Macaca fascicularis: one gene and its partners. The protein of the gene in region 3 interacts with the protein of the main gene of each other region in a biochemical or structural test. Links are inferred from orthologs where the notes say so. Each region holds a gene or a part of one and is shown on either strand. Other genes may lie near its edges.

Evidence for each region.
Region 1: the proteins of UBE2E3 (region 3) and RNF25 form a complex in vitro, tested with the Homo sapiens proteins (2 studies listed by BioGRID, with this or other methods). The link is inferred for Macaca fascicularis from reciprocal best matches to the Homo sapiens genes UBE2E3 and RNF25.
Region 2: the proteins of UBE2E3 (region 3) and RNF14 form a complex in vitro, tested with the Homo sapiens proteins (2 studies listed by BioGRID). The link is inferred for Macaca fascicularis from reciprocal best matches to the Homo sapiens genes UBE2E3 and RNF14.

What each region holds. Positions count from the first base shown.
Region 1 is NC_088386.1:114,596,545-114,599,172, forward strand, and holds part of RNF25 (E3 ubiquitin-protein ligase RNF25), read right to left. Parts: intron 2,562-2,628; coding exon 2,487-2,561; intron 2,224-2,486; coding exon 2,121-2,223; intron 2,029-2,120; coding exon 1,961-2,028; intron 1,865-1,960; coding exon 1,795-1,864; intron 532-1,794; coding exon 460-531; intron 363-459; coding exon 219-362; intron 1-218. UniProt on the Homo sapiens protein: E3 ubiquitin-protein ligase that plays a key role in the RNF14-RNF25 translation quality control pathway, a pathway that takes place when a ribosome has stalled during translation, and which promotes ubiquitination and degradation of translation factors on stalled ribosomes.
Region 2 is NC_088380.1:148,455,230-148,459,667, reverse strand, and holds the start of RNF14 (E3 ubiquitin-protein ligase RNF14), read right to left. Parts: upstream 2,935-4,438; 5' UTR 2,872-2,934; exon of another isoform or gene 2,375-2,871; intron 1,336-2,374; exon of another isoform or gene 1,162-1,335; intron 1-1,161. UniProt on the Homo sapiens protein: E3 ubiquitin-protein ligase that plays a key role in the RNF14-RNF25 translation quality control pathway, a pathway that takes place when a ribosome has stalled during translation, and which promotes ubiquitination and degradation of translation factors on stalled ribosomes.
Region 3 is NC_088386.1:76,567,652-76,570,938, reverse strand, and holds the end of UBE2E3 (ubiquitin-conjugating enzyme E2 E3), read right to left. Parts: intron 3,011-3,287; coding exon 2,863-3,010; intron 1,205-2,862; coding exon 1,107-1,204; 3' UTR 570-1,106; downstream 1-569. UniProt on the Homo sapiens protein: Accepts ubiquitin from the E1 complex and catalyzes its covalent attachment to other proteins. In vitro catalyzes 'Lys-11'- and 'Lys-48'-, as well as 'Lys-63'-linked polyubiquitination.

The DNA of each region.
Region 1 (2,628 bases), about 38 Mb from region 3:
AGCCTGGGTGGCAGAGTGACACCCCATCTCAAAAAAATAAATAAATAAAAAAAAAATAAAAGGATGCCCTTTTTTCTGGACAGAGGTAAGAGTTCATTAATCTCAAGGTTATCTATGACCCTAAAAAGGTGAAGAGCCACTGGAGTGGAGGGATGGAAAGGTTGTGAAAGGCTGTGCCTAAGGGTGTCAGATGAGTGTGCAGGTCTGGTAAGGTCTACCTGTTTGGTTGCAGCATGCTGCCGTTCCTGTTCCTGCTCCTGTCCTTGTGCCTTCAGCTCTTGCTCCATGTGCTGGATGTACCGAGCAAGGCAGTGGCAGTGGAAGTAGTGGTAACAGGGTGTTTTGGTAAAGGCCTCCTTCTCCTAGAGGGAAGGCAGATGTAGGGCACTAAGTCAGAGCTCTCTCACAGCCCTCATCTTGGTCCCAAGCAGAATGCCAGGTCCCAAGAGAGAAACCCACCTGGAAACCATAGAGGCAGATGACACACTGGCCATGAGGGATGTTGTTATCTGTGAGAATTTCCTTCCCTTTCTGAGGAGAGAAGACACTGATTAAACAGGGGGTTAGGGAGAAGAATGGTGAGCAAGGCCTGTCTACTACTCCTAGGAGTGACTGGCTGGACTTGGCTCCTACCAGGCCAGTTTGTTACCTTGTGTTTATGCATTTCTGTCTTGGTGATGCTCCCTCTGCTGGGAATCAATCCTTCTCCACGTCTCTGCCCCTCCCCCAAAATTTGATCTTCCTGGTTTCAAAATTCAACCTAATTGTTTTTCCTTTCATTAAGTCACTTTTAATATATCTTGGAGATGAAAATAATACACCTTGAGAGAAAAAAATGTTCAATTAAAACTCATCTTCTGGGAGGCCTTTCTTGATTAGTCCCCTTCAATATCATTCCCCCATGGGGCAATGAGTTTGTTCTAAGTCAGCTTTCAGAAAGCATGTCAAAGCATGGACAACCCGAATGGACAGAAAATTCACAAGGCATTGAGTTGGGCTGTGAACTATGCATTTGAATTGTTATTTGAACAGCTAATAGTGTACTCTGGAATTCCACAAAGTCCAAGGCTGCATTGTGGAGGCCTGACCTAGGACTGCTACAGTGGCCTATCAAACCCACTCTCTTTGACTCTCGGCCACCCACCTTCATTCTATTCTGAACATTTTTCTTAAAAATTTAAACTAGGAGAGGCTGGGCATGGTGGCTCATGCCTATAATCCCAGCACTTTGGGTGGCCAAGGCAGGTGGATTATCTGAAGTCAGGAGTTCAAGACTAGCCTGGCCAACAAGGAGAAACCCCAACTCTACTAAAAATACAAAATTAGCTAGGTGTGGTGGTACATGCCTGTAATCCTAGCTATTTGGGAGGCTGAGGCAGGAGAATCACTTGAACCTGGGAGGCAGAGGTTGCAGTGAGCTGAGATCACACCACTGCACTCCAGCCTGGATGACAGACTAAGACTGTCTCAAAAAATAAATAAATAAATAAAATAAAAATAAAAAATAAATAAACTAGAGGAAAATAAGACTGTACTTTATATTTTTAATCTCAAACAGCAGAAGTTTTCCGTGTATATTGGAGCTCCAGGTGTTGCTTCATGTGGGTTGTTTCACTAAGCAGTGTCTTTCGGGAAGTTTCTCAAATAGAAGAGTCTCATTTCTCTGGATTAATTTAGGTCTTACTTAATGATTCCAGATCTATTTAAGATTCTAGGCCCATGGTTTCCCTTTTACAGCTAGAAACTGCTCTAGCTCGAAGGAAAGAACATATCCCAGACTAGCGCACCTCTTACCTCAATGAGTTCATAGAGCATGGCTGCGCCCAGCCCGGCCTTGGCCACATGGCCCAGCGCTTGTAAGATCCTGGAGGAAGAGGGCAAACCACATATTAGGCCTGCCCATTTCCGTCACTGGGCAAAGCTGTAGCTGAGCTTTCCCTGTTTGACAGGTTCAACTTACGTGTGGATCTGTTCATCTGAAAGTCCTCGGGGATTTCGGATAGAGATCTGTGGCACCTCATGGGGATACTAGTGGGGGCAAATAACAAGTTACTGCTGAACTGATCCACCCCAGGGACTCTCCCCTTCCTCCCTTTGCTGCCACAGAGTAGGGGCTTCACCTCTGCTGGGACCTGAAGCACCAGAGTGAAGCAGACATACTGTGAATCCTGGTCCTCTGCAGTGGCAGGATGCAAAGTGATGTAGATCTCCCACGGTGAAGTTCTGCAGGTGGATCAAGTAGAAACGCAGATGTGACTGTGTAAGGACTTGGGGGCTGGGGAGGATGGGGTTGAGACAGTAAAGTGGGCAAAGAAAGTACATATTGGACTCTTTCTTTTGGGGTAGGATTAAAGGAATAGCTTTTGTCTACACAAGAGAAATATTATCTCTGAATCAAGGCTTACACTGTCTTAAGACCCAGATTCGGCATAGAACCTCTCCTCATTACTAGGGGGACTCCTGCCCACCGCTGGTTGAATACATACCTGCCATTTCCTTTAATCACCTGTAGTTCATCCAGATAGATGGACTCCAACACTTCAACTTCAGAGGGAAGGACCCTAGAGAGACAGGAGTAGACTGACTTTCCATTACAACTCTCCCTGTGGAAGCCTGCTAAGGCCAATA
Region 2 (4,438 bases), on a different chromosome or scaffold from region 3:
CACTAGAACTCAGCAGGCGGAGGCTGCAGTGAGCTGAGACTGCGCCACTGCATTCCAGCCTGGGTGACAGAGACAGGAAGGAAGGAAGGAAGGGAGGGAGGGAGGGAGGGAGGGAGGGAGGGAGGGAAGAAAGAAAAAGAAAGAGAAAGAAAGAAAGAAATTAGCTACTATTAAAGTATGAACTGGCTGGGTGTGGAGGTTCATGCCTGTAATCCCAGCACTTTGAGAGGCCAAGGCAGGAGGATCGCTTGAGGCCAGCAGTTTGAGATCAGCCATGGCAACATACAAGATCCTGTCTCTATAAAAAATTAGCCAGGTATGGTGGTGTGTGCTTGTAGTCCCAGCTACTTAGGAGACTGTGGTAGGAGGATCGCTTGAGCCTTGGATGCTGAGGCTGCAGTGAGCCATGTCTGCATCACTGCACTCCAGCCTGGGTGACAGAGCAAGACCTTGTCTCAAAAAATAAAGTATGGGGCCGGCCGCGGTGGCTCAAGCCTGTAATCCCAGCACTTTGGGAGGCCAAGACGGGTGGATCACGAGGTCAAGAGATCGAGATCATCCTGGCTAACACGGTGAAACCCCGTTTCTACTAAAAAATACAAAAAAAACTAGCCGGGCGAGGTGGCAGGCGCCTGTAGTCCCAGCTACTCGGGAGGCTGAGGCAGGAGAATGGCGTGAACCTGGGAGGCGGAGCTTGTAGTGAGCTGAGATCCGGCCACTGCACTCCAGCCTGGGCTATAGAGTGAGACTCTGTCTCAAATAAATAAATAAATAAATAAAAATAAATAAAGTATGAATCAATGTTTTTAAAATAGCGTCAACTGAAAGATACAGCAATTTCAGATAATTTAAATGTGGAAAAAAATAAGCAATGAGAATTTACAAAAATCATTTTAATAAAACAAAATACCATTCTGTCAATTAAAATACTGAACAACAATTGCATTTGCAAATATCCTCCCTCACAACTAAAATATTTTTAATTAAAATGTACATAATTAAAAAGTTAGGATTTTTTTACATTCTAAAAGGTCATACTGTGAAATTTAAAATGATTTCATTTCAAAAAACACTTTTTCTAGGAGACGTTAGTTCATGGCTCTGCTTAAGTTGCCTCCCTAAAAGACACAATTACGTGTTCTACTTGAGGTCAGTTAGTACCTGTTAATAACAACCAGAAGAAAAGAATATTAACACCACAGTCTGTATTTCAGCTCAGAGTGGAGTTCGTGCAAATCCCATTTATTCTCTAACTGGTGGAGCTGACACTGCTGAAGCTGGATAAGAGGCCAAGATGTGGAACTCATACTACATATACTATGAAAATCCTGCCATCTGCAGAAAAGAAATACAAAAGATGGTGTTAGGACCCTCTCCAAATTAAAATTCTGAATTTCCATGATCACCACTTAAGTCAAACATATCCTAACGTACAGCCAATCCTAATCTACAGGTGCATGTTACTCTCCTAGGGCAGACTGACTGAGCCATGTGGTTAAAGGAGTATTTGCATGTGCCCAGCAATGACTGAGGACTTTTTATCTGTCTGCCCTCAGCCATGGGAGGAGGTAAGGAGGAACACCAAGGTCATATGAGAGGACAGGACACCATGCCCCATAACAAACAGCCTCTTCAGTTTCTTGTTTTTTCTCCTTTCCTCTTCTGCTTTTTGTATTCCTTCATTTGCCATCCCCCTCCAGTTTTTCCTCTCTTGTTCATGAATTAATACCACCAGTGGCACTCATGGTTAATTTTGATAACAGAAAAATACTTAAACAAAACAAGAATACACAAACAGAAACTTTTAAGTTTTATTCTAAACGCTTTAGAGCTAGGCTTCTTCACTGGGGTGAGGGGAAAAGGGAGTATGGTCTCAGATGGGTTATGGAGAATCCTATCAACACCCTAAAATTATATGCAAAAATACCATATACAAAACCATAATTAAAAAGTTACAGATTCTCGGATGTGTAACTCCCCAATAAGAATGAGATTCAGAATCAATTTACATTTATTGAGCACCTACTACGTACAGTATTAGGTCCTTTCACATTGTCTTATTTAATCTTAAACAATTTTACTAGGTGGGAATATATGGTGCTAATTAAGCTTTTTGTTTCTTCCTGTTAAAACATTTGCAAATGGGATGAGAGATTCATTTATGCAGTTTATGGTTTTAGGTTAGTGTTCTCCATCTGACTGCACATTAGAATCTTCTAAGGAGCTGTTTTTTAAAATCTGAATACCCAGGCCACACCCAGAACAATTAATTCAGGCCTCAGTAGTTGTCCAAGTTCTCCAGGTGATTCCAATATGCAGTCAGGGCTAGCAACTTCTACTCCAAGCAGTGTTTCAACAGTTCCTCATGACCTACCCTACTAGATTTCAGCTTGTGAAGCTGTCACTTGGAATCCAGTACCTCAATTCTGGTTGCTACCCCCATTTCCTTCTCATTCTATCCATTTGGTCTTCGGGTGTCCTGGTCTGGGTTCAGCTCGCCACCCGGCGTGCGGAGTCGTTTGGGCGACTACCCCAAAACAGGGGCAAGTCCAAGGCTAGCTATCCGCCCCAGCGCTGGGATCAGAGGGCGCTATCCGGGCGTGTGAGCTGCTGGCCAGCCTGGGGCCTCCCAAAGAAGCAGGGCCCACACCTTTCTCTTCCTCCTCAGGAGCGTCCGGAAGGGAGTCCCGGCCAGCTGGGCTGCGGACGCCCGGTCCCGGGTTTGAGCGACTGAGGCCCACTGTACAGTCCTGGCCCGGTCCCCTTTTCTGCCTCGCGCGCCCAGAGAGCTGTCCCCACCGTATCTTCCGGCCACCCGGCAGTGCCAAGCTCCAAAGTTCCGCCCTCCGCCCTTGCCCGGGGCCCACTCACCGCCGCCAGCCGACCAGGCCTAGCAATTCCCTGCTCAACCGGCGCACCGCCTCTTCCGTTCTCGGGAGCTGTCAGCTGAGCCAAGCGGATCCCGCTGGTGGGGTAGTCGGCCTAGAGAGGACTCTGCGCAGCCGCCGTGGTCGCCCCTGTCTCTCGGGCGCCTCCCGCAGGCCCAAGGCGGCGCTGCCGGCGCGACCGCCGTCACTCCAACCACTGCGAGCCCAGTGCTCACAGGAGGCTGTTTTCAGTAGTTCTGATGGGGCCCGAGAATTCCAATTTTTACCAATCCCTAGAGGTGATCACGAGGCAGTGGTCTACCTAGGGCAGAGACTCTCACAACAATCCCAGACCTGCTTCTCTAAGTGGACTAAGCTAGCCTGCTTCCTCCCGTTTACCTTCTCAGAAATGCTGCCCGTCTTTCTGGAGCTCCACTGCAGAAGCACGCATTCATCGCTCATGTTATAACTGCAACACCGACCGCATTTATTGAGCAGTTAGGATGCTTCAAGCACTGTGATAAATGCTCTACGTAAATTTTCTATCTTCACTGTAACCTTATGATTTAGCTACCATTTGTTATTCTCACTTTACAAATAAGGAAATTGAGACTTAGGTGCAAAAACTTACAAAGGGTCACATGATTATCATCAGGCTAAGCAGAAATTAAAATTATATGCTTCCTACCTCACACCATATGCAAAAATTAACTAAATATGGATCAACGACCTAAATGTAAGAACTAAAACTATAAAATCTTTAGAAGGCCAGGCACAGTGGCTCACGCCTGTAATCTCAGCACTTTGGGAGGCCGAGGAGGGCGGATCATGAGGTCAGGTGATAGAGACCAGCCTGACCAACATGGTAAAGCCCCGTCTCTACCAAAAATACAAAAGATTAGCAGGGCGTGGTGGTGGGTGCCTGTAGTCCCAGCTACTCGGGAGGCTGAGGCAGGAGAACAGCATGAACCCGGGAGGCGGAGCTTGCAGTGAACCGAGATTGCGCCACTGCACTCCAGCCTGGGCGACAGAGCGAGACTCCCTCTCAAAAAAAAAAAAAAAACCAAAAAACCCTTAGAAGAAAATGTAGGAGTAAATATTTATGAACTTGAATTAGGTAATAGTTTCTTAGACATGAAACTAAAGGCACAAGCAACAAAGGAAAAAAACACATAAATTGCATTCACCAAAGCTAAAAACTTTTGTACTTCAAAATGTCAGAGGCATTCGAACCAGAGCAACTTCATCTGGAGTAGGGGCTGGGTAAAATAAGGCTGAGCAACCTACTGGGCTACATTCTTAGACAGTTAGGCATTCCAAGTCACAGGATGAGATAGGAGATTAGCACAAGATACAGGTTATAAAGATCTTACTGATAAAACAGCTTGCCGTAAAGAAGTGGGCTAAAACCCACCAAAACCAAGATGGCCACGAGAGTGAACTCTGGTTGTCCTCACTGCTACACTCCCACCAGTGCCATGACAGTTTACGAATGCCATGGCAACGTCAGTAAGTTACCCTATATCGTCTAAAAAGGGGAGGCATGAATAATCCACCACTTGTTTAGCATA
Region 3 (3,287 bases):
AAGAAGAAATTTAACCTTCTAAAAACCTTACAATTTGGTATTTTACCAATTGAGAAATATCACATTGTACACTAACACAGTTCTAGTCTACCTTCAAGGCAGACAAAGATTTCTGTGTTCAACTGTGCCTCTGGCTGTATTTGCTGGCCACCTGCCATAGTAAGAATGGTAATACACACCACGAAAATTCAAGACCAGGATTAGAAGTAAAAAGTACACTAGCTACCACATCAAAGTTACCATCTAACAATACTGCCCAATGCTGAACAACATGTTCCATAAGATATTACCAGACGCATTTTGACTTAAGCATCATATTACCAAAATACAGCTCTATGTGTTTGAGACTAATGGGTTAAAATCCACTTTTGATTATTTACGGTCATTCTTTCAATAACAAAGGAAAAAATCTCTACACATTTAATAGGACTTTAAATGTTTTCAATTTAAGAATTGGTTTATTTGTGCTAGTCTTTAGTAATCTTCATAGACGCATTTTTATTTCATCAACAATCATCTCAGACACACCTTCTAACAAGACTGACGTAAAATATTACGACAGGAAACTATGCCTTCAGGAGCATGTTTATTGTGTTTGAGATGATACATCAGGTGCTCTCTGAGCTACAAAGGGTAAAAGGAAATCCTCTCATTACAAACTGACAAAGGTAAAAGGTAAAACATTTTTCACAACAGCATGAACCACATACTCAGAAATAGATCTGGGTTTAATACAAATGACATAATTCCTAGTCATCTACAGCTACTTTTATAACTTCATACAGATAATGAATTAGGCTAAAATGCACTATAATATTTGGTAGACTTCAGGACCAGTATCCTTAGTACATCACAAAATACATTTTGATATCCCAAAGAAGCAAGACTTGCAAGTAGGCGTTTTAAACATAACTAATCTACAGCTACAAAGTTCTACTCTTGATAGCATTTACCTTTTTGGGGAGTCTCCCAGGCTCCAAAGGATAAAAGCAGAGTAGAATCAGTATAACATATACACAGAAGTCCGTATTGTAAAGGCTATAAAGATTTGCAGCACAGTGAGAAGATGCCTTCTGCTCCTTCACACTGCATACAAATTATGTGAATTATGTTGCGTATCTCTTGGTCCACTGTCTGGCTATCCTGTCGTGTTCTGCTCTGTTGGTCAAATACTGAGTGGCTATGCTTCCAACCAGAGGATCCGCTGGAAAAGTGGAAAGAACATTAAAAGCTATTTTGTGGTATCTTCTTCAAGGTATAGTTCTAATATTCTATTAAAATGAAATGCTTACTTTTCCGCAGTATCTTCATATATAATAGCTAGATTTTCAAAAGAAAAAATTTAAAGTAACATGATCATATGTGTATTTTAATATTCAAGTTAGGAAAGCCCCCTTCAGCAAAACAACAACAACAACAACAACAACAACAAATTTTGAGCTATATACAAAAATAGTTAGATTTGACTTTTATGAAAGACACAGGTCTTTAATATACAAAAAACTATTTTATAATTTTGGCCTTTCATTCAACAATGGAAGTATACTAGGAGGTTATATTTCTGCTTATGAATAGTTCAAAAATGGCAAGTTTTAAGTAAAACCCCAGTCTTACGATACCATGCTATTTCAAATACAATGCTTCCTTCATTCTGTGCCTGATATGACTCTAATCACTATCTATATTTCCACTTGAAACCTTACTTGCCATTTTGTTTTAAGTAGAATTCTGAACTAGAGAGTGAACCTGATATAAATTTTTATCATAATGTTTAAAAAGAAAAAAATATGTACATATGGTACAATATTTGAACTGTACCAAACCATAGCCAGTAAAAAAAACTCTCTTCCTTCCTGACTCCAACTACTCAGAAGTTTCTTTCCCCGGCAAACAACTGTTACCCATTTACAACATTACTTTCCAGAGTTCTTAGATGCACTGACAAGCATTTAGAATATTATGTTGTATATATGTATTTTTTCCAGTGCCTTTTATACTTAATATATCTCGAAGATATTTCCCTATGAGTTCATATAGAGTCATATAAACATTCTTTTAAAAAGTTACATCAATTAATGGACATTGAGGTTGTTTCCAATACTCTAATAAATGATACCACAATGAATATCCATCTGTCTCTATCTATTGTATATGTATCTCGGCCAAGCACAAGGTAACAACAGTAACAGTTTTCAGTGACTTATCAAATATTTAGAAAAAGTAAGTCAACTTAAAAAAAAAATCACATAGCAAAACAAAATGTGTGAAATTTCAGGTCTAAACATCATTTTATCAAGTCAGCTACTCAAGTTTCTGAAGTTCACATGTGGCAGGCATTTTTTAAAGTTATGAATTACACACAAATGATTTTATCTCTGAGTTTATATAATCATAATCTAGTTCAATTCTCATTGGCTATCATTTTAATATTCATTACTACTACACCTAATATAACTAATTAATTCAAAAAGGAAGGGAGAACAAGAAGCCCTCTATTATTAAAGTAGCTGCTTAAAAGCCTATCGCAGAATGGAAGGAGCAGGAAAAGGAGGCACTGGTTTCAGAGACATTGGTTTACTCTTGGTAGAAGTAGTCTGTGCACCTAAACAGTTTTAAAAGTAAAGATTCCATTAGTGATGGTGACAAAATAATTATAGAGTGGTATGCCATTAACAAATTAAATGAAGGTATTGAGAAACTTCTGGCCTAGTCTACTTCAAATGGCACTGGTAATTTCCTTACAAACTATTTTACGGAGATCTTCCTATCAATAACATTTACCTCTCAATCTACATTTAAAGCTAACTAAAAAAAAAAAAAAAAAAAACGCACTGGTTTTTGTGTTAATAAAGATTTGCTTACCAGGGTTGCAGTCCGTCAAAAGGGAACAAATAGACAGCAAAACTTTTGAAATAGTCAAAGCGGGACTCCAGTTGTCTTTAAGGATGTCCAGACAGATGACTCCCTGACTGTTGATGTTGCAGTGATAAATTCTGGTGCGGAAAGTAACCTAAGCACAGTCACATTAAAAACAGAAGGAAAATGAATGCTATATTACCAACTAAAACACTAGAAAAAGATGAAGGGTAATATATCATAGAAGATACTAAATTATCTGACTGGAGCTAACCTTAGATTAGGTTTAATAACAGAATTAAATGGTTTTGACTCAGTTGAAATCTTTATTTTTACCCTGTATAGAAAGAACTAAAGTAAGGAATTGATCAGTTATACTTAAATAACTGATACAGTAATTCTATCTATGTGTGTGGGTACGTGTGTTTGCA